Stegostoma tigrinum: one gene and its partner. The protein of the gene in region 1 binds, or shares a complex with, the protein of each later gene. Links are inferred from orthologs where the notes say so. Each region holds a gene or a part of one and is shown in the gene's direction. Other genes may lie near its edges. The genes, in order: kcnma1a and calcium-activated potassium channel subunit beta-4-like.

Region 1 (12,800 bases):
AATTCTGCAACATCCCTTTTTGTTTGCAGCAATTTCATTATCCAGCCATTTTTAACAAAATATCAATAGAAGGAGTTAGAACTGATTGGGGAACAGCATGGGACAAGCTTGGCTTCTATACTAATTCAGACCTGCATGACAATTCAGGTCATTTTTTTACTTCCCTGGTGAGAATGGTGTGATGTTTTCTAACAGCACATTGATGCATCATTATTCTCTGTAGTGTCTGGTCTAACACGGCACAGGTTTGAAAATTAACCTGAATCACTGCGAACCCATGTATAGGAAAGCATGAACTAACATTCTAAGCAAGGAGTTGTGAGTACAGCCTGTTCTGAGGGAGCCATGTAAATCTGTGAAACATACTGGTATCTTTGTGGTCTTCATAGCTACGTATTCTGCAGGATGGTATCTTATCACATTGTGCCAGTAGGAGATATATATATGCCATATATGAAAACTCTGCAACCTATGTGCCCCGATATTCTTGAATGGTATCACAATTTATTCAGCGAAAACAACAAGAGCAACAAAATCTCCACGCAGTAGGATCCAGGCCATTACTGTGACTGGCCCCTAAGTAGTTTGTTCAAGGGACCCAACATGTCATTGTGTTGGAACATGAGTACTTCATGAAGGCCTCAATCACCACAGACTTTGCAGTGATATTTACATTATATGAACTTTTATTTGAAAAAGAGAATCATGATATTGCATTGTCTGCATACAACTCTATTTTTATTTCGATGCTAATTAAAGGACAATTCAAATCCCTTACTTCCAATTTTTCTATTCGATCTGTTTATAGAAATTTTGGCTTGAGTTACATGCCTTTGACCAATTGATCCTTTTGCTAGCTTTTTACAGGACATTCTATCTCTTGTTAACCCTAACATGCGCTTTTTGTCACTTTTTTTTACCAACACTAAATGATCCCAGGTGCATTTCTAAAAGTACATTAGATCACTGTCCTACAGCCAAATCGCTCATTATTTAGGACAGAAATGATACCCACAATCTGCAAATCTTAACTTTAACCTTCTGGTGTGCACTTCAGATGATCATGCGTTTCAGTGTGTCACCATCCCAGATTTTGACCTGACTAAGATTGTAGTTATTTTAATGAACCTGTTTAGACATATCTAAAATGGTATCCTCTTTCAATATCTCCACAGCAGCTGGTAATCTTCAAATGGTGAAAGAGTAACAAAGTTTTAAACTCTTGTATTTAGTCGCATGTAGAAGGGGACCTGCAGCCACCTAATACAATTATTAGATGAAGTGTTCTGTTAATTAATATATTATTATTAAATTAAGTTTACTATATTGACATAAATCACATAAAATAGGTTGTCAATCTTAAGAAGTTCACTGAAGAATCTTGTTGATTTTTATGATGTTTACCTGTTTGTGAATGTTGATTTTGATTATTGTCTTTTTGTTGCTGGTTTCTTGGGTATTTGAGTAAATTTCAGAAGTTGGACCTTTGGACTCTTTTGTCCTTGGGACTTAGTGATACATTTAGTGATTGTGACTGATCTGAAATCTGATACTATATTTCATTCAAACGTTTTAAAAAGAATGTCTCAATCTGGTGAAGTTACATCATCAGACTGTAGGCATGCTAAACAGCAGAATTAGTACACTGTTTTGTGATTTATAAAAAGATAATAACTAAAAGGGTTTTTTTTAGATTTTGGACTTTGAATTAGTTGCACATGAGTTTAGATGATTTATGTGACAGTTTTAATAATTAATCAGATCGGATTTTACCAAGCAATAATTTTAAACCAGTATGTGTCGGAAAACATGAGACTGAAAGCCTCTTGGATGGTTAATGGAAGTTCGTTTATATTGTCGGGTTTTACCAAAGGGCAGAGAAAATACCAAATACATTAACTTGCTCTTGGGTTTAGAAAATAAGGATTGATTTGAGATTAGAAAAACACAAGAAGTAGAAAAACACCTGGCTTAGTTTGAAGGAGATCTGACTGAAGGCAGATGTAAGAATAGTTTTTCCCCCAAAAAGGGGTTTGTTCAGAAAAGTTAAAGGGATAAGTCTTCTTAATGGAAAAGACCTCAGTTTTGTGAGTCAAAGAAACAAGCCTCAGAGTTCACAGGGCTGGAAATTAAAATGAGCATTTAAGCCAATTTACAGATTTGATAGGGAAGTGTTTTCTTTCTAGACTTTAATTTTCAAGTGTTGGTATTGGGGAGTAGATGGGATTTTGTTTTGCCAGGAATTTGAAATCTTTTAAACTGTGCTATTTTTAATTTCTCATCTAATAAACCTGTTTTCATTGCTAAAACCAAATCTGCAGTTATGTTTCAGTAAAAGACTGCCACATGAAATAAAGCAAAAATAAAATATGATAAATAAAGTTTCATCTGGGATGAAACCTGACCATTCGTAACATCAACTGTTATTATAACTTTGTGAATAAAGCTGATCAGAATCAGAGTCAATGGATGGGATTCAAACACTGACGGCTTATAACATTGTTTGTGAATAGTGATAGTCAGTTGAACAACTAATGAGAAATATCAGAGTGCTCTCCCCACCTCCAGATCATGAAGTAGGATACACCACAATGTGATTATGGTGATGAAGATTTGGGATTTTGGGATGAAAAAAGAAACCTATCAACTTTTTAGCAGTGACAAGGCTTTGGGAACTATTTGTTGCCATATCTCGATGATCATCTTTCAGTGTTAGTTACTATCCAAAACACTAATATTTAATATTATTACCTTCATTGTTGGAAAAAGACACATTTTGTCAAAGTTTTCCATCTTGCGCTCATCAGGATATTTCACAAGAATATCAATTCAAAGGGAAAACCAACATTTACATTCCATGAGTGGAAAGTGCTGATTGGTTGGCACATGGACTTGGTAGATGCATAACCATGGACAATGTACCAGTTAATAATGATTGACCATTTAATTGTCAGGCTTTATTTAAATTTTGAACTAGAATGTTGATTCTGATTGGTCAGGATATTGTCCTAAGAAATGAACTCAGAAATGGCTGTTTGTTAAGTTGAAAGACATGCAGTGCATTTATCTATTCTTACTGTCTTCTAAAGATCCAAGTATAATGCAACAACAGGCTCCCCTTAAAACATACTGCATGTTATTCCTTCAAGCAATTCGAACAAATAATTTCCCTTTCACAAAAGAATGCTGATCCTTCCTGATTAGTTCTAGATTTTTCAAGTGCCCTGTTGTAATCTCCTTGCTGATAGATTCTATCACCTTCCCAACAATAGATGTCAAACTAACTGGTTTATAACCTCCTGTTTTCTGCCTCCTTCCCTTCTTGATATTTGCTCATTTCCATTCCATTGAACTTTCTCAACAGTAATGAATTTCAGAAAAAAACTCCAACATGCTCCCTATCTCATAAAGCCACTTCCCTTTAAGACCCTAGAGTGAAGCCCATCAGGACCCAGAGAACTATCAACCTGCAATCCTCCATTAATTTGTTCAGTAACACTTCCCTTGTGTTCATAATTTTACCAAGATTCTCTTTACCTTCTACTTCCTGATTTACAGGCATTAAAGGGGTTTTTAAATATATCCTCTATCGCAAAGGCAGAAGCAAACTATTTATTCATTACTTCAACCATTTCTTTCTCACCTCATATTATGTCACCACTCACAACCTCTACAAGACCAAACCTCACTTTACTTAAATAAAACCAAAACACTATGGATGCTGCAGATCTGAAATAGAAAAGAAAGTACTGCAGAAACTCTGCAGGTCTGTCAGGATTATGGAGAGAGATAAATTTAATGTTTAGAGTTCAATGACTTTTCTTTGCAACACACTTTTCATTGACTTTATTTACTTGTGCTTTTCCTTTTGAGATGCCAACAAAAACTTTTGCTATTTGTTATATTTCTAGCAAGCTTCTTCTGATGATCTAATGTATTAGCCTTGATTACATTTTTAGCCATTCTCTGCTATTCGTTGTGTTCTGACCAGACATCTGACTCGTTATTCACCTTTGCTTCAGTTTGATGCTCTCCTTTATATCTTTAGTTAATCATAGATTATAGGTCCTTTCCTTGGAATTGTTTTTCATTGTAGGAATTAGCTTACTGTGAGTATTTTCGCATGTTGCTCCATATGTTTGCTTCTCAACTGATCTATTTCCTACCCTAATATCCCAGATAAATTTGGATAGCTCAGCTTTCGTGCCGTCATAGTCGACCATATTTACATTTCAAATACCAGTCTTAGACCCAATCTTATCCCCTTCAAACCAGATGTAAAATTCAATAATATTATGTTTGCCACTACCTAAACATGATTCCAATATTTTCTGTTAAAATTACATTTCCACATGTCGATATCACTTATGCTATTCTATCTTTTATACCTGATTCCTGAGAGAAAATTAAACTTTGAAATCTTTCAACGGTTTTGCATTCTGACCATGTTGGTGCCACTAAATATCTTCTTATACTATGCTCTTCCTTGAAATTCAGTCTTGTTGTAACTTGGTTTTGCTAATAATAGAAAATGACCAGAATAAAAATGCTTCTTTAACTCTCCTTTAACTTTGGCAACATCATGTTTCTTTCAAAATTAATTCTTGGAGTGGGGCTGGTAAGATGAAATCAGATTATGATACTAGTGTATGTACCATGTAGACATTTCAATAAGATGTCTTGTTATCTTTAACACGGATAGAATTACAATTTATTTTAAATTGGCTCATCCTTTGTTCAAATAATGGCCAGAGAAATTTCTCACAGAACTCATAAAAGCTTTTGTTACTATAATTGAAATGACAATAAAAAGATGACACAGCATCAAAATACAAAACTGGCTGGTAATTGTATTTGCAGTCATATGTTAAGGACAAGTTCAAATAGTGCTTTTCTGCTTCTGTTGAGGGACAACTGACACTGATAATATGTTCTGCTAATACAAAGTGATAATGAGAAATGTGGGAACTAACATTTATTTGTACGAACAGATTTTTTGAGATGTTTCAAACATTGTTGTTTTTAATTTATCTACATGCCAATGAGTGAAGAAAAATGTTCCACTGTGATATTGCCACTTTTAAGTTTAACAACTTATCATCATGTGCATTAATTTTATTTATTTTCTAAACTTTAGATACTATGTATTGAAGGATTCCAGCAGTGTTTAAACATGTGGGTGCAAGAGATTGTACTGAAATAAGATTTGGATAAATAAAAATAATGCTGTTCTCAAGTCTGTAAATGCAGAACACATTTGGGAGAACTGGCATTGTATGGTAGTAACTTCTGTTTTGCCTCTTGCTGCAGCATGTATTTTGCATCTTCATTCATTGTTTTCCTTTTCATGTGAGGAGATACTGCAATGGACAGGCACATCTGTCTTCTCAAACTGCTAACAAGGCTTAGGTATAGTTTGTAGTGTCCATTAGATCCCATTGACCAGCTGTGAAATATGAAACTTGGCTCCTTGCAAGAGTCACATAGCGCAATAAAATAAGAATCAGACTGGCACCTAACTCTTGATCTAAGCTGCCACTTTATACAAAGCTGTTCTACTTTTGCATAAACACAATAATGGCATGTTGACAGTCTTAAAACAACCATCAGGCTCCATTACATCTTCATTGATTATATTTTTAACGCCACACAATTTGAAAGTTGTTGAGGAACCAAATAAAAACTGAAGAATGTTGTCCTTTTTTTCAGGGACAACATTATCTAACCCAAATTATCTAAATCTCTAACTGACAAACTGGAAATCTTCTGAATATGCCAATTTCAAATTCAATTCCCCACTTTGCAAGTCAGAAAACATTTTAAAGTAAATATATCGGTCAACTTGAGTTTTGCAACGCGGACAAAGTTAGGCGAAAGACAAAAAGTCTGGAAACTCTCAGCGGGTCAGGTAACACCTGTTGAGGGTTTAACCAGGTAAATGTTTCTGTGCGTGAAATCCTCAACCCGGAGAACTGCAGCACAGCCACCAGATGGCAGTAGATGTACCATGCGGTTTAGTACGTTGTAAGTTGCTTCGTTTGTCCCAAGCACATTAACAGTTCTATTTAAACCTACGTTCATCCCTTTCAGTGCTGAGGTAGAATTAAGTTATCGAAACCTGCTAATTATAAAATGGTTTAGTTTTGTGTAACAGACTTTGATTTGACAGTGTTTTACTTGAGTAGCTAGTCAATTTTTGGGTGACACATTTTTCAGCAAGCATTTATTACTCCATTTTGACTACATCTATCTAATTGTGCATCAGTAATTTGTGGTGGTCTTTTGTTTACCAAACAAACATTTCGTTCGTCGTTATTTAATGCTTTCGGTATTACGGAACAAACTTTATTTTGCATTACTTTTATTATTCCTGGCGATTTAGCGTTGTGAATAAAACGTTTGAAAAAATAAGTTCAAGCAAACGAGCAAAAATCTGGATTTAATGTGAACGTCTGCAGGAGGCATGGCTGATATCGAAGATGCACAGTTGGCTACCGTGGCATTGACTCCCTTGCCAATCAATAAGCTATTTTTTTCCATCTAAATACCCCGAAAACTCTGAATGTGATTCCTAGGTGCAACCTTTTCAGTGGATGTTTCTGAGGCAGAAGCTGTTCTGTCGAAGCTTCCTCTAAATGCGTGTGTGTTCCTTATTTTAATGGGTCCGGCGGCTGGTAATTTGTCGGTCTAAAAAAAATGCCAAAATAAGGGAAAGCGCACAGCCACTGGAAGGGGTTAAAGCCCAGCCACTCTGGCACCACTGTATAGATTCGTGTTGCGAGAAGGTGATGATGAGGGTTATTGATTGTAACAATCTTGAGATATCAGCCCGCGAGATGATGCTGAACATACACAATAAATGGGAGAATCTTCTCGATAAACATCGCCTCCACCTCTTGAACACGGCCATTGACAAATCATCGTGTGGAAGATGACAGTTGAAAATGAATTGAGGATTTTATATAACAGGAGCAAGGCTTGAATTATATCCACGGAAATATAACTAATTATAGCCCCGTTGTATTGAATTGGAGCGCTCGGTCTCTGCCTGTGTCACTAGATGTCAGCTAGCAGTCAAATATTACAAAACTGTTGTTTAACGTATAACGATGAATAATTAGATCTTTATCATAACTACCTTTTATCACCAACCATTAAGAAATCGATAGGAAAACAACAGCAACTGTTCAGCTTTTCTCTCAACACCAATTTTCTGTTTTCAAAACCTCAAAATCCGTGACAATGATTTCAGGGGGAAAAATCTACCTGCAATTTGCACTAAAAAATAAGCATCGGTGTGGCTGCGGGGGAGGTCGAGATATTTGCGGAAGATGCGCTTTAAAGGCAAAAGGTGAAACTGCAAATGCATTCTTTGTGCAGAGCAAACATGATCACAAATCGAATTGAACAAAAAAAAATCATCTCTGGCAATTTGACTTGGGAGGGGAGGTGGTGGTGTGCAGTTGGAAAATGATTTAGTTGGGAAAGAGGTTGAGGAAATAGAATTAAATAAATGGAAGGGGCTGGGGAGAAAATCTGATTAATGCAATCAGTAACAGAGCGCTGAGGGGCTGTGCTGATCTGCATCAGTCGCTGCTCCTGTTCAGTCAGTAAGCAGCAGCAACCAGTGTGAGCAGATCTGGGAGAGGGAGTGGTTGGAGCAAACCCAGCAGCAGCAGCAACAGTAGTGTCTGTCCATCTCCTGGCTTTTGAAGAACGCTTTTTCCCCCCCCCCCCCGTCTATTTTTCCCCTTGAGAAAAACAACAATCAGAAATCCACTTATGATTGATCTTTTTGTATCTGTGTATGTATGTGACTGGAATCCCCTGCCGCTGCAGGGAAAGAGAGATATAAGGAGGCGACCAGCAACGATCTATTCGAAAGAGAAGTAAAGGAAGAACTATTCTACGGCTTTTTTTTTTAATTTAAAAGTCCCCTTCTGAACACAAGATTGGGGGAGAGAAACGAAAGGGACATTTTAAAACAAACCAGTCCATTATTTTATTTCTCCTTCTCCCTCCCCTCCCCTCAGGATTATAAACCTGACTGATGGGAATTTGCTCTGGGGATTATTAATTTGTCCGTGCGTCAGTTGTTGTGGAGATTGTGAGAAGTGTTGAGAAGAAGCTTTTCTCTCTCTCTCTCTCTCTCTCAGAAAGCTGTCGGTTGCCATGGCGGCTCCGGGCCTGGCGGAGGGCCTGCTCCTCCTCCGCCGCCGCGGCCTTTCCCTCTCCTCCCGCTGCTAAAGCCATGGCCCGGGGAAACGCCTCCTCCTCCTCCTCTTCTTCTTCCTCCTCCTTCACCGCCACCTCCAGCCGCCGGCACTCCGCGGCCCTGCTGAAGATGGATCCCGTCATCATCCCCATCGACGCCGAGACCATCTGCGACAGCAATGACCAGCGCATGTGGTGGGCCTTCCTCGCCTCGTCCATGGTCACCTTCTTCGGCGGCCTCTTCATCATCCTCCTGTGGAGGACCGTCCATTACCTGTGGGCTGTCTGCTGTCACTGCGGCCTCAAGAATAAGGTAAAGATTCTTTCTTTGTTTTTTTTTGGGGGGGGTGGGCTGTGTGTGGGGCAAGTGGACGCCGACCTTCTCAATAACATGATCTCCTTCAAGACTGTTCATTTCCATCAACTTGTCATTTAAATTCTGCCGCCCCCCCTTCCCTGTACTGAACAGGTTCCTCTCTCTCTTATTCCGCTCTCGTTTCTGAGGGAGAATTTAGTGCAAAAATGCCCCTTTTATCCACTAGGAGTCGTGAATAAAAGCGAAACTCGTTTTTTCCCTGCTGTTTATTTTGGAGGCTTGCTTTACTGCACCGGCTTTAATATTATTGTAGCTGCCTGATGTTAAAATGACTGAGCTGCCGCACAGGATTTTGCACTCGGTAAATGTTCAATGCACACGCGCGATTGCCACCTCCACCTGGTTTTAGAGTTTAATAAAGTTCCAGTGTCGCTGGAACAATCCACTTGTGGGTCATTTTGCTTATCATGGTTTGTATTCTGATGTTGAGGAATGTCAAGATGCGATAATGCATTGTATAATCGGATAGATTTCAACGAAGAGGGCTGCATTTTGGACGCAGGTCCTGATTTCTCATCAACCCTCTATGCCATTCTCTTCCGTACTATTGAGAGTAATGCCACCATTGTTGGGTGCAAAGTCTCTGAGGTAATGGATGTAAAACTCCCAAAGTAGACTCGCTTTGTAGATCACCCAACCGCGTTTCAATGGTAATGATGAACATCAGATTTTTTTTTCTGTCTGAATGCATATGACTGCTCTCCTGCAGTACAACCAGAAGACATTGCTGGGGGTACATTAATGCTGTCTGACAGAATATCAAACCAGCCACCTGTGAAGTGATATAAAATAGAATTTGTACACTGTAGCTTTAGTACTGGGCTGTAGGTTTCAATACAGGATTGTCACTCTCTGCTTTGCCAGCTCCTTTCATGAGTTCAGTACTCAGTTGTGAGCAAATGTACTTTCCTCCTCCACACTCCAAGCTTCGAGCCCAATTTAGTTCTCCTTTGCAGAGATTGCATGCCAGATCATTCACATGCAGCATTTCGCACAGGTCAAAGATTTGCCAGCAGCCATTGCAATTTAATATAAAACAATTTTGCTTTCAATAGAAGCAATCAAATATTGACCTCAGCCACATAGCACTGTACATTTGTTCAGCCTTATCAAGCATGAGCTGCACATTTTTATCCTACCAGGTAGAATGAGAAACAAATAGCTGTGGGCTTACTGAATTAGTCCGTGAGCCGCTCACTGCTTGGCTCAGAGCTTTAACTAATAGGGAATGGAATGAAGCAGCTGGATACGCAATCCAATACTGCCCAAACAAATGCAAAATCCTGGAGATGCTGGGAATCTGAAATAAAAACAAAATATGCTGGAAATAGTCATCAGTCTTGCTGTCTGATCTGAAACATCAAAACTGCCCATCCTTGTTCAACATTGGGAGAATACCTTCTGGTCTTGTGATTCAAGATTTGAAAGCATGCAATGAAGTACAACACCAGCTAACATCTTAACATTTCAAAGGTCTTATTTGGAGCCTAATTTGTCAACAGTATCTCAGTTTATCAAAAATAGACTCTCAAAAAATACATTTAGAAAGAATACTAGACAGAGTCTCTTCCTGTAAAGAGAGCTTTATATTTAGAATAATCTGGCAGTCGAAGTAACACAGACATGTCTATTAATGATAGTCAAAGTACACTTGGATTTTAGGCAGAGCTTGCTTGAATACTGGAGGAGTGGACTTTGGGTTCAATGAACTTCACTTCTGTTGTACTTTATGCGCATGTATTTCTTGGTCACGTTATTTGTTTTTAAAATTGTAACATACAATGTTTGGCAACAGAAAACCATCTTGGTTATGTTTCAGTTCAAAAACAAAACAATTTATGACATTGAGTGAGCAAGTTAACTGTGCAAAATTGATTGCAAGTCTTCAGTTTGGTTGCACTCCCACAGTAGTTTGTGGGTTCAAGCCCCACTTCAAGACTCGAGTTTGTTCTTTTGATTTAGTATAGTATTGTGGTGTCCTGCTGAATGGTAGAGGCACTGTGGTTTTGAAATGTTAAAGTGAGACATAATAGCTGCCTGCTTCAGTAGTTTTGCATGACGTTTAAATATTAGTATTTATAAAAGAGATGGGAGCATTCAGTGTCTTTCCTGGGTATTGCCAACTGAAATAGTATGCTATTAACTTGTTCATCTCTTTGTTGTTTATGACACTTCATATCACAAATTGGCCATCGTGTACATAAGCTACATACAAGCCCAGGTTGATGAGAAAATATCTGGATGTAGGTTTTCTCCTTGAATTGGCATTCATGCAAATTGCCCTGATAAAAGCAAAATGAAAAGCTTTTACAAAATGAGTAATTTCTTAGCGATATTTATACATGTTCATTGAGCTCCAGCAAAAACACAAGTTTATGAAACAGCTTTAAGCTTTCCACTGAAAAGACCCAATCAGTTCAATTCAGAGATATTATGACATGTCTCTGGAGCAGGTAGAACCTGGGCTCCGAGCCCAGAGCTAATTACTTAGCATGTGGACTAATTGGAAGAGGAGAATGCACGATTAACAGTTACCTATCAGATTTGTTTACACTTTAAACCAAGCAATTTGATTCTGACTGGTCAAGGTATTGCCCTAAGAAATGATCCAGTTATCTTTTTCTGTTGAATTGAAGCAGGTTGAATGTATGTAGTTTTTTTTGCTTGCGAAGAACCAAGTTCTGTGTATTAATGTGTATAGCTTCCAGTGTAAGAAAGAAGATAGTTAAATAGCCGATGATGCCACTCCACATGTTAGTGGTGAAAATCAGGTGTGTTGAGTTTTTATTGCTCCATATCTCTTCAATCTCCTCCATCCTACATTCCCCAGAACTTTGGTCTCTGTGCGTTTCTACCATGTCTTGTCCCAACATTGCTTTAAGCTGTAAAGTTTCGAAACTGTGCAGTCCCTGCCCAAAACCTCGTGGCTATCTCTTTAAATAAGCTTTTTGACCAACCCTTCCACTTCTCTCCTTTTTCTGACTGACTAGGTGTCCAATTTTGTTTACTTAGAATCTTTTTGAAACATCCTGAGATGTGTATGTATAAACAAAACTTGATTTAAAACAATGGCCAACATACTGAAAATATTTTTGTTTAAAAGTTGTTTGTTCCCTTATCTATTAATGATTCCACTGTGTAAAGTTAAACATTTGAAGATGGGGTTCCTGTAATTTAAAATCCAGAACAACTTTAAGGATTCAAAGGATTCATGTTGTGGACTTGATGATAAATCCAGACAGAATGAAATTATCAGCGTAGCTCTTATGCAGTCTTCTCAATGATTTTATCAAACTTTTTATGAATAAAACCAACATCAAAATGTGTAAACTTGATTGTTAGGTTGTGCAAGGCCATTGAAATCACTGAAATAAGGGTGTACAGTGTCCTAAACTGTCAATGTAATCCACAGTCTTTTGCTCCTTCCCCACTGGGACAAGAGTACTATTTAACTACGATTTATCTTGACAATTTAAGACGGATTTAACGATTTTCTCATTTCTCTAATTACAAAATATTAATTATTCATTATGCAGCATCAATGGATTGACGCATCAGTGGATAAACACAAGGCTCATGGGGCTGCTGAGACATTCTCAAAGATCAGTCATAGATTCATTGTGATTTATGCTGGGAAGCTGCTTTAAACCAGGATGACAGTGGACTGGTGCAGAGTCCCCGACTTGTTGTGGAAGTGACGAAGAGTAAATCTGTTTAGGTTACTGCTTCTGGTATCCATTCACCAACTTCCTGGTGGAAGGTGCAAGTTTAGTGTTTTGTCTTAGTTTATGTGGGAACAGAATTGGGCTGCGATGCCTTCTTCAGCATTTAGTACTCAGTTGCACTTGTGACTGGATGATTTCCAGGTGGCACTGGAACAGGTTATTGTTGTCAAATTTAAATACCTCACATTGCCTGTCATTAACAGCTTCAGCCATGTTACGCATCACTAATACCTGCATGCTTTAGGTGGCCAGTTTGGCTTGGTGAAAAAATTATTTAACCAATCTGCTTAGATATATTATGACACACCTCCATGATAGGTGTGACTTGACCCCGATCTACTGTCCCAGAATTAGGGACATTATCACTGCACCACAAAAGCCAGTAGATTTTGATTGATGTAGAGGAAACATCGAGAAAGACTTTCACTACTTAATTAATTAACTCTAGCAAATGTATTTTTAAGTTGGAATTTTGATTGACCTGT
Region 2 (11,895 bases), on another chromosome or scaffold:
AAATTAATGCATAGATTAATGTAAAGGATTGTGATCAATCACCCTATAATCCAAGGGAAGTAGAATTCTCCATTTTGCCACAATTGATGAACAATTGTGATCCCACTGGATCTATACGATTTTTCATACTGTCCTCATCAGATTTCATGAGTTCTTTCACTTGCATCTTATATACTTTAAATTGCTTTTGTTCTGAAAAATTGACTCTCAATTGCTTTCTTACTAAATTCTTGATTTCAGTGAAGTAGAAGCATGTTATGGTGACATTTTTTATAATGATTAGTGCTCTTTCCAAAGTTGAAAGAACTTTGAGAAATAGGTCACAGGATGTTGATAGGGAAGAAAGGTGTGTGTTTTCTTTAAGTAAGGTGAAAGATTACATTATTTACAGCAGCAAATTATCATGATACATATACTTTTGCTTTCATTATGTTCCTCAAACAGGACCGCATACCTCCTTTGTTGATGACCCAAGTCAGTGCATAAGTGTAGTCACTACATAATTATCTCTTTCCCCAATTTTTAAAATGCCATTTAAACATTGTGGATACAACATCATAAGGTAAGTCTAACAAACTGTTTTAATTGATTTTTTTGGTTGTCACGGTTTTTCTGTTAATTAGTAAAAGCATCTTGTGGTATAAGTTGAACTTTCACCAATGACAGCATCTGTAGATGCAGTCCCTTGGTTGTAATAATTACAGAATGGCATTTTAGCTATGGAGGGCCTTGCATTTATATAGCACATTTCACAAACAAAGCATTTTATCCCTAATGAAAGATTTTTTTTTAGGAAATGCGGTCACTGCTTTAAGAAACATTGTACGCCAATATAAACTGGTTGCAATCTGAAATGTGGTAATCCCTAGATTAATCTGTTAAATAGGTTCAGGGATAAATACTGACCAGGATACCAGGCACCACTTCCCTGCTCTTGCATGGAAACAAGATGCAGTCGGCCATTCCGTTCCATGAACCTGTTCTGCCATTCTAGATCATGACTGATTATCTACCTCAGTCATTTTTCTATGAAACTCCCATAAATCCATTGATGTCAATTGTATCTCAAACCATTGATCTCGGTCTTGAACATGCTTGATTACAGAATTTCCATAATCTCCACAGATTCACTGCCCTCCATGTGAGGAAGTCCCATCATACGCCAGTCTTAAGTAGCTTATTGTAAGACTGTTCCCATGTTCCATAGCCAGGGAAACCCTCCCTATTTAGCCTTTAAAAAGTTTTAATAAGATCACTGTCATTCTTAACTCTACAGAATACAGGGCCTCGTCACTTGATCGGACTGTAGCACATTCCCACCGGTTACTGTGGTAAACCTTCATTGCACTCCTGTGATTAGGCGTAGAAACCAAAACTGCAGCATAATTCCAGGTGCAGACTCACCAAGAGTCCCCATACAATTGATGAAAGAGATCTGTCCTCCACCAAAATTCCTCAAAAGTCAAACTATCATTTGCTTTCCTGATTGTTGCACCGACATGTTAGTTACGAATAAGGATACATGCCAGTCTCTCCATTTTAAGAAATACCCTGCATTTAGTTATTCACTGTAGATTTCATTTCTATATTTCCCCATTCACTCAATCCCTCCAAATCTCCTTGAAGTGTGTTTGTATCCTCCTCACACCACACGTTTCCACCTATTGTAATGTCCTTGCCAAATGTAGGAATATCAACTTGTTCTGAGATTAAATTACGCATCTCTAGAGCAGGTGGGACTTGAACTAAGGCCTTCTGTCCTAGGGATAGAAACGCTATCACTTCACAAATGCCCCCCGTCAATATTGATACAAATTGTGAACAGCTGAGCCCAAACACCACTACTTGCAGTTTCCTACTTGCAGTTTCCAACTAACAGCAGCCTGCAAACCTGAGAAAGACACATTTATTTCTTCAGTTTTCTTTCCATAAACTAATCTTCAGTTAATACTAGTATATCACAACTAAGTTGTATTTTTAATCGTGTATGTGCAAGGTGGTGGCATAGCGCTATGTTACTAGACATTCAGAAGCCCTGCTTAATGGTCTGGAGGCATGGGTCTGAATCCCATCATGGCAGATTATAAAATTAAGCCCATTCAAAAATGAAGTTAAAAGTTGACTGTTGTAACAACTATCCGTTGTTGGGGCTTTTGTGTGGCGGTAGTGTCCACTAGGGCCAGAAGTCCTCTAAGGTATCCAACCCTGTACCTTATGCTCCAAATTAGTTTGTCAACTTGTGTGGGAACTTAGCTGCTTTCTGAAAACCCGAATACAGCATACTGGTGCTGAAGCACCCTCCCCATCACCGAGCACCTCTTACCCAATACAGTTATGCTGACGATGCATGCTTTTGATTTAACGATAAAATTCACATCAAATATTGGCGTATTTGGGAGCTTGCTGCATGTTTAAATTCATGCCGAACATCAAAGTGAAGATTTCCGGTTGTAAGGTTTTATGAAGAGATGAAAGTGGGCCTGTTGTGCTATGGGCACATGTGGGCCTATGTTCACAATGAACCGCCTCGAATTTAATTCCTGGAAGAAATTTCAATTATCCTTAACTTGACACTGACTAAGCCTCGCTCAAGAGAGGAGGGAATGTAACTAGTACGAGAATCTACTCAATGAAGTTAGTAGACTGAGTATTCACCAACATTAACCTCACGTTTAATGGCAGGTAGTTTGGCTTTGATTTGGTTTGTTAACAAATATTTTCTTCAACATTACTTGCTAATGTCACTGGTATTCCCTGAAAAATACTTTTGCATACGTTCCTGAATACTTATTATTGTTACTTTGGAGGAATCTAGCCATCAAGATGTCCGGACAGAACAATAGTATAGGGGTGCTCTTCGACGATGGAGAGCATCACAGACGTTCGATTTCAGTGTTCGCCATCCTCGAGCGCTTTACAGAAAAGGGTAGCTGTTTTAAGATGAGTTGGACTGCAAAGCTGCTGGGAGGGTCTAATTGCTACTCGAGCTTCAATTAACTAACAAATCGCGTATATTCACTCGTTAATTAATTAGTGGGGCCATAATTAACATTTTAAAAAAATCCAAACCCCACTTTACCCAAATATGGCATGCTCTATATTTGGTTCTGGTTGATGTGTACTTGAAATAAATCGAGGTCACCCAGTTTTCCAAACCAATTTAATTATGATCGAAGGTTGTGTCGTTCGATAACCATACACCAGAAATGGAAAAGTGGTTTGTACTGGGCATTGTACACAAGGCCACCCTTCGTCCAAGGTCAGGACAGTAACGTACAGGTTCACATGGAGTAGTTATTTGGAAGTAAGCTGCTGGAAAAAGAGGTGATGCTGGGCCTTATCCCCATAATCTACTAGATATTCCTTCCATTTTAGTTTACAAGATGTGTTTTATCGTCCCCCCACCAACTCATCCGCCAAATTTAATTTTAAAAAAAGCCAATACAGACATTGCAATAGCCTCCCCCTGCATTGGTAATTTCTGCCGTTCTCATTTCAGATATTAACTTGTTACTTTTGACTCAAATCGGTCACGCTTGAGTACCTCCACCGGATTAATAATTCTTCACACGTGAATTTAACTACGAACACTGATCAGCTGAAACCCTTCACCTGGACTTCCAGCAGGAGTTGTTGATCGGGGGGTAATCCAATCGATTGTTTTCTCCCTCTTAAGGAACGCTATTTTTAGCTTCAGCCTGTTTACGATTAGCAAGTTTAGTAGTGTGGACATGGGATGATTTGTCTGAGCCAAACTAGCAGGTGAACGTTTGTTCAGGTTAAGCCATTTTAAAAAAAATCATGTTTATCTTTTTACTATGTTGCCCTGAACTGGCCACAGTAACACTAAACATCTTTTTCGTTTCAAGCTGTTTTTGATACGGCTTTCGATTTACCTTGCCTCGCTAACATTCCTAGTGATTCAGAAACCATAAACCAGCCTGCTTTCATTGTAGGTTGGTCATCTTTAAACTGTGTCAGTGGGAAGACAAAGTTAGAAACTAGCTGGATGGATCTTTGTCACTTCAACGTCGTCACAAATATAACCAGCAATGATAAGACAATGAGTAACATACCTGCTTGAGATGTAGTATTTTAACATGAATTGTAGGAATTGATGTAGTAGAAAGCGGGCAAACGTGATTCCAGTCATATGACTGAACGCATACACGCTTAGTCAAAACTACAAGCTAGGTTCTTCCCATTCCCCCGCCCCCAAAAAGGGGCTGTAGTTAACGTAGATAGTTTTCTTTAATAACGTACCTCCAGTGTGAGTATTGTTTTCGGTGACAGTTCAAAGAAATTGGTTTTGCAGTTGTAAAAGGTTTCTTTGGCCCTTCACCACCTCCAGCCCAACTATCTCTAATTCAGTTTCAACAGCTGTTGTCAGGCTTGCAAACATTTCCTGAAATGTTTCCATTCTGGATTCCCAGCACCTGCAGTGTCTGGTTTTACTGAAAATTCTACCAGATTAGTGCAAACGTTATGGAATAATCCATTTTTTGTTTTGTACGGACTGTTTTGCGATGTCTGGCTAAATATTCCTAACACTTTTCCTTTTATGGCATTTCTATGCATTTCTTTAAAGCACAGCAAGTAACTTACAAAACCAAACAGTTCCCTCCCTTTCTTCAGCTGGCAAAGCTACTGACATACCCGACACATTCTGAGCAGTTGTTTCTTCAAAAGGTAGGAGTCTGAGATGAGGAACGCTTTCCGTCCAACTCGTCCTGCCTTTCTCATAGGTCCTGCTGTAGTAGAGCTCCAGGACGGGTCAATTAGCTAATGACCTCGCTAACTGAAGACTGAGTATGACACGGTTAAGGCAGCGAAGACATTAATTCGCGGATCCTTGCAGGGTGCTAGTTCCGAAGAGGAAGATGAGAAGTTCTATACACAACCTTCATTTGTACCCTGATCCCATTTCCTAGATACATAGTGTGAGGTGAGATGATGAGACTGCTTGACGTGGATTATTCCTCCCATCATTCTGGTTAAACGTAAACCGAATGGTAAGCAAATAATTCATCACTTCCATCGTTGAAAGGACAAGGAACAGAATTGATGAGTTTTGAGTCCAACACTGTTGTTGACACCAGAAGAGAGCATGTCCAACAGTGTAACCTCCTACAGGAGGTTTCTGGCCTCTTAAGCCATCCCCATGTTTGAACCACGCCGCCGTTTGGCAGCCGTGCCTTCAATCGCCGCCACCACCACCTTCGCCCCCCTAAATCTTTCCAAGTCTCCCCCCCCCCCGTTTTCCACAGACCCTGGCGGTGGGGTGGCTGATCACCGAAAACAGTACTCACACTGGAGGTACGTTATTAAAGAAAGCTATCTACGTTAACTACAGCCCCTTTTTGGGGGCGGGGGAATGTGAAGAATCTAGCTTGTAGTTTTGAGTAAGCGTGTATGCGTTCAGTCATATGACTGGTGGTAGTTGCGGGAATGAAGTTGACTGAAATGCCGGTGGCACCCCGTTAGCCTTAAGCAGGGGGCGGGCTCTTGGGGTGGCTTTGTGACCACGAAGGGGTTCGAGACGAGGAATAGCGTACCCCCTCTCCAAATGAAGCTGGAGGTAAAAGCACACTATCTTTCAGCCTTGCAGGCATCTTGCAGCATTCAGTGAGTAAGTTCCGTAGAATCCAGTAGGGTGATTTGTTGGACCCCCCCGGGCGTTAGGCCGTGCCCTGGCGGCAGTGTTATACAATGGAAATTCATCGCTACTGCTGCTGTTTCAGGGCGCAAACTGTGCTCCAAATCTCCGCGATTTCTGGCGCTCTTTGATGCTATCGGACTGCCCAGAGAGGAATTGGAGGAACTGGAAAAAATTCCACGCGCCCCACCGCCACGATGTGATTTATACACAGGCAGGAAAGAAAAATGTTAGAGGGAAGGAAAGCCGCTTTCTGCTGGGCCAGGTTCAATTAACAGATCGTGGGCATGAAATGGACTGCTCTGTCTCTCCGCCGCTTCTTCGCGACGTGCTGCTGCCCTGGTTTAACATTTTACAGGATCACCTCGGGAACGGAGATGGGCGCCAGGTAAATATAGCGCAAAGTTATTGATGGACCTCTCGGAATGACTTCTGCATCTGGAGAGATTCTTTCAGACTCTTCTATTTGAAACTCACGACAGCATCCTTATTCACAAGTTTATGTATTTTATCTGATCAATGTATCAGTTACATTAGCGCAAGTTCTGGTTCTATTTAGAATTCTATTATGTGACTGTGACATGCCTTCCTCAACCATATAATGAACTTAACGTGCTCTGTTGCGGACAGTGAGAGAACTTTAATACTTAGTGAACGGTTGATAGGAAGGACGGATTAAATACGAAATAAAAACCGAAAGAACTGCGGATGCTATAAATTGGAGACTTATTTCTGGTTTAAATGCTGTCCTATTGGGACATAGGGTTCTGTAGGTAAAACACGCCCAGGCTGCAGCCCTCAGGGAAATGCCTTGTACCACAGCCCTACTCTGTAGTGGGGAGTCTCTGTCACCCAAAGGCGGATCCAGAAATGCCATCTGCCAGTTCCTCGGGGGCATCATTAGCACAGAGACCCTCCCACTGCCTGGCAGCTCAGTCTGGCAGATATGATCCTTAGCAGAGCAGTTAGTAAACAGCAGCCGCTGAGAGCTGTGAGCTATTTCTATCTAAGTAGCTTACCTCATCCAGATGTAACTGACAGGCTTTGCACAGCGGCATCGGGGCTAGAGGGAAAGCCGCACGTAGCTTTTACATGCCCAAAAAGAAAGCGAACAAAATGCGGATATTTCCTCTGCAACAACAACGAAGTTATTCAGGAGTTTTAGCCGCCGGTTGTCGAGGCTGAACTGTGGAAAGTTTTTAAAGCGGTTGCCCAGGGCTAAAGCCTGCACTAGATTGTGGATGTGTTGAGAACTTCCTCAGGGCGAGCGAGTCGCCATCTGATGGCGAAGCCCAGGGTCACTTATGAGTATTCCGAGGCCGAGGATAAAAGCATTAGGCTCGGCTTCTTCCTCATAGTCTCCGGCATCGTCTCCTTATTCATCCTTGGCTTTTGCTGGTTAAACCCCACGCTGAACAACATGCAGTGTAAGGCTGCTAACTGTACGGTGCTGTCGTTGCGGCAAATCGCTGAGATGTCTGAGTGCACTTTCACATGTGGGGCAAATTGCAAAGGCACGTCGCTCTATCCCTGTCTCCAGATCTTCGTAAACAATTCCCAAACTAACAGCCAAGCGCTGCTCCATTATGACGAACAACAACTCATTCGAAACCCTAAGGTAAAGTGAGCTGTTGCTGTGTCACTCTAAAGAGGCTTAAAATAAACCTAGGGACATGAACGTTTAACGATGTTGTATATATTTTGCAGTCATGTTCCACGGCATCTTATTTAGCGCGTGCAGTTTCTTTAATATATTAATTGTACTTTCTGGAAAAGATACAGTAACTTTTAGATAATTCAGAGGTGAATATACAATCAGTAATTACTAATGTTACCTAACTGTACAATAGACATGCACCATCGTGTTGTTAGGTGGCAATTGTCTGATCTCTAAGTCCCCGCACAATCCCAGTTAGACTTCCATGTGGGACTAGGGAAGTGCTGTCTTTTGGATAAGATGTTTAACCTAGTTCTCTGTGCCCCTCAGGTGGGTAAATCCCACAGCCCTATTCGATGAGGAGTGAGTTCTCCCAGTGTTTCGGCCGTCCTTTGCCAATCAAAAAGCATCACCCAAACGTTATTCGTTCAAGAATTGGCTGCCTACCTTACAACAGTACTTCATTCATTGCAATGCACTTTGGAATGTCCTCTACGGTACATTATAAATGCAAAGCTTTTGTTCAGTAAAAGTTTTTTGTTTTGTATGAACAACAACTAATGGAACAAAGGCTTAAAGATGCTTCCTGACTTTATTCAACAAGTAATTTGTATTTTGAAACCTTTTAAAATCTCTGTCGTATTGATTTACATAGGTTAGTGTAGTTATCAAATCCAGGATGCACTTAATTGATGAAGTAATGTATGAATAAAGTGCAGCTATCCAATATTCCAAGCCAATTCATTTTTAAAAAGTCAATAATAGATGCTATGGGGTTTTTCTAAAGAAAAAGGTTAATCACACATCCGAGTAAATGACACAGAAATCTTGGTTGAGTAATTTGGAGATAAACTTGTCTAAATAATCAATTTTTAAAAATACAGCCCGGTGTCATTCAAACAATTGTATTTCAATAAAATATAACACAGTTGTGTTTTTTGAAATTCTTTCCAGTTGTTCAACTAAAAAGAAACCTACAGAAGTAGCATTAAAATTGATACTGGCTTAGCTCAAATCCACTTGCTGGGCTCTTCTGATTTACATTTTGGGGCAAGAATATCAAGACATATGTAAACAGTACAAACACTGATAATATTTAGATGCAAGCAGTTCCAAATTATGAAACACCACATGAAAATTGATATTTGCCAGTCTCACTTGAGCTCCATTAGTTGGGAGAGGATCTGCCAGATGTGAAATAAAACCAAACAGGCAAGAAAACAGAAATAATTATGTTCCTACAATGAGCCTGTGTGTGCAGTGTGCTAAAGATGGTCAGACTTCCCACTTCTGTTCAATAATCATTATCCTGTGCTGAAGAGTGTCAAATGTGCTTTTTCAAAGAGGATTGGAAATTATTGAGATACCCTTAAAACGAAATATTCTGGTGACGTTTGTCCTGTTGATTTCCATCATGCTGAATGTACATTTCAGCAAGGTACTGGAAAGCCATGATGCCAACAGGACTGTGTTTCTGCATGAATCAGTGTCTTTGAAGGTATATGATGGCTTGCAACCTCCCAACAAAATAGGGCTGCCTATTTGTAGGACAGCAAGGTGTTGGCATTTTAAGTGATGCTGAATTGGGGCAATGGTCAGCATCCTCCTATCAGCTGAAAGTGTATCTGAAAGCAGGAGTAATGGTGTTGAGGTTGGTTGGTTCACCAAACTGGGTTGTTGTTTTGCAAATGTTTCTTTACCATGGTTGGTAACATCCTCAGTGCAGCCTTTGATGAAGCGTCGGTCTGTTTTCCTGTCTGGTTTTTAAACTCTGGTCCATTGAGATGGATTGCCTCACTTCTGGGTTTCCTTCGTAGTGGAATGCATATGGGGTCGAGTTCAATGTGTTTATTAATAGCATTCTTCGTGGAGTACCATGCTTCCAGGAATTCTCGTGCTTGTCTCTGCCTAGCCTGTGCCAGGATCTTGGTGTTGTCCTAGTCATGAGTATTGGTCGTGTCTTTTTGTAGCCCGTTGGTGTTCTACTCTTGTTAGTTTCATTCCTGTTTGTCCGATGTAGTGTTTCTCACCGTCTGTCTGTAGGGGATCTTGTAGATGACATTGGTCCTGTCCATGGTGGGGTGTGGGTCTTTAGTTTGGGTGAGCAGTTGTCGTAGGGTTAACATGGGCTCCTATGCCACACTGATGCCCAGTGGTCGTAGGAGTCTTGTGGTGAGTTCTGATGTGTTCCTGATGTAGGGTAGTTTGAGTGTGTTGGGGCATGTAGGATCTTTCTGTTGCTGTTCTTGTAGGCATCTTCTGACTCAATTCTTTGGATATCCATTATCCTTGAACACTTGGAAGAGATATTTTTCTTCCTCTTGGTGTAGTTCCGTGCTGCTGCAGTGTGTTGTCCTTTTAAACCGTGTTCACATACAACTTCTTTTGTGTGTGCTAGGATGGTTACTGTGGCATCTTATATATTATGGCATCATATCCGACACTTCATCTGAGGCTACAACCAAGTACATGAAGGAAACATCTGCAAAACAACAAACCAGCTCAGGGAGCCAATCAATCTCCAAACCCACAACCAGAGCTACAGGTCTTCTAAAACCTTAGAGACCTATGGGTGCAACATGCTTGAATTGGCAAGAAAATGGGAAAACTATGCCAAATGAGAGAGTGCAACCTGCGAGCCACTCTACTCGCTACTTGGATACCTTAGGAACGGGGTATTACCAACAGTGTGAAGTACAAACCACCCATCAACAACCCACAGCCTGGAAAACAGCAGTACAAAATGGCTGCAAGATGGTAAGGGTAATGATAAACTATGCACCCAACTGGCTCCATAAATACAACAGAGCAATTATGTACCAAAAAATGTTATTCCTGGAAGCTACCAATCAAGACTGGACAACTGACATGGAATGAGCCATTAACATCAGCCAACAGACCACAAAAGCCAAGAAAAGACAGACCCTGCATGACAAGCTAGCCACCCTTACCCACAAAAATGACAAGAACAGAACTGACACATGGATAAGAAACCTCTCCGACGGGAAACTGACAGACGTGGAAAAAGTAGTTCTCACCCAAGGACTGAACTACAACTACAGGGAAGCCAATAAAACAGAATGGCCATCTACACTGGAAGCCACACTCAAGACCAACAATATCAATGAAGAAACAGTACAAACTATAAGACAGATAGTAGTCCTAACACTAACCAGAAAGAGGGAACTCACCACCTTCAACGCACAGCAAAGACAAGCCCTGGACAGATTTAAAGAAGGACAAGAACATCACTATACTACCTGCAGACAAAGGGTTCCTGGCAGTGATAATGAGTAAAAGGGACTACATCTCAACGGCACAAACACTGCTTGCTGATGAGAACACATACTGGCCAGTACAGACTAACCTGACACCGCAACTAGGCAAAAAATCCTTCACATGCTACAAAGACTTAAGCAAACTGGACAGATCAACAAAACAGACTTCTTAAAAATGGAACCTGAAGGAACCAACACACCCCACTCGACGGCCTCCCTAAAGTGCACAAGCCAAATGACCCCTCAGACCCAGGCACTCCATCACACAGGTTAGCAAAGGAACTACAATGAAGATTCGGGCACCAAGTCAACAAGTCACCCCACTCTATCCATTCAGCCCAAGAATTCCTCAACTCCATCAAAGGCATAAAGATAGAAGAGACCATGATATTGTTTGATGTCACTGCCCTATTCACATCAATAGACTTGTCACTAGCAAGGGGAACAATGACAACACTACTTGAACAAGAATATGACCCCAGTGAAACCATCTCCAAGGGTAACATGCTAATACTATTGGACCTATGCCTGAGAACCCACTTCACCTTCAATGGCCAAACATACGAGCAAATCAACGGGACACCCATGGGATTGCCTATCTCTGGACTCATAGCAGAAGCAGTGATGCAAAGGCTAGAAAGGATGGCCCTTCTGCAACTCCAACCTAAAAAGTGGATATGCTACGGAGATTATACATTTGTCATCGTTAAACAGACCAAATTAGTAGAGACACACAAACTTATAAACAACACCCTCATCGGAATAAAATTCACTAGAGAGGAGGAGAAGAACCAACAACTCCCAGGGTGACACGGTGGCTCAGTGGTTAGCACTGCAGCCTCACAGTGCCAGGAACCCGGGTTCGATTCCAGCCTCGGGTAACTGTCTGTGCGGAATTTGCACATTCTCCTCGTGTCTGCGTGGGTTTCCTCTGGGTGCTCCAGTTTCCTCCTACAGTCTAATGATGCACAGGTTGGGTGGATCGGCCGTGCTAAATTGCCCGTCGTGTTCAGGGGTGTATGGGTTATAGGGGGATGGGTCTGGGTGGGATGCTCCAAGGGGTGGTGTGGACTTGTTGGGCCGAAGGCCCTGTTTCCACACTGTAGGGAATCTAATCTAACCTAAAATGGGGAGCTGCAAACGAAAATACACCAAAACACCACACACGCAGACCAGGTACTGAACTTCAACAGTGACAATCCCAGCATGCACAAACAAAGCTGCGTGCAAACACTGTTTAAATGGGCAACAGCACACTGCAGCAATATGGAACTACGCCAAGGGGAAGAACAATACCTCTTCCA

Evidence for each region.
Region 2: the proteins of kcnma1a (region 1) and calcium-activated potassium channel subunit beta-4-like are in contact, whole or in part, in a cryo-EM structure (PDB 6V22), measured with the Homo sapiens proteins. The link is inferred for Stegostoma tigrinum from reciprocal best matches to the Homo sapiens genes KCNMA1 and KCNMB4. Residues at the interface, in NP_001154824.1 of Homo sapiens: Phe98, Phe99, Leu102, Phe103, Leu106, Leu107, Arg109, Thr110, Tyr113, Leu114, Thr116, Val117, Asp238, Leu240, Trp241, Leu244, Pro327, Trp328, Asn330, Gln332, Leu367; in NP_055320.4 of Homo sapiens: Thr11, Glu12, Ala13, Glu14, Lys16, Ser17, Leu20, Leu24, Ile34, Phe35, Cys38, Trp39, His105, Thr164, His165, Val183, Leu186, Ile187, Leu190, Thr191, Ala194, Leu197, Ala198, Lys200, Ala201, Met204.

Annotation. Positions count from the first base shown.
Region 1 is NC_081390.1:16,015,894-16,028,693, reverse strand, and holds the start of kcnma1a (calcium-activated potassium channel subunit alpha-1a), read left to right. Parts: upstream 1-7,594; 5' UTR 7,595-8,251; coding exon 8,252-8,527; intron 8,528-12,800. UniProt on the Homo sapiens protein: Potassium channel activated by both membrane depolarization or increase in cytosolic Ca(2+) that mediates export of K(+). It is also activated by the concentration of cytosolic Mg(2+).
Region 2 is NC_081371.1:45,105,496-45,117,390, reverse strand, and holds the start of calcium-activated potassium channel subunit beta-4-like, read left to right. Parts: upstream 1-6,591; 5' UTR 6,592-6,938; coding exon 6,939-7,274; intron 7,275-11,895. UniProt on the Homo sapiens protein: Regulatory subunit of the calcium activated potassium KCNMA1 (maxiK) channel. Modulates the calcium sensitivity and gating kinetics of KCNMA1, thereby contributing to KCNMA1 channel diversity.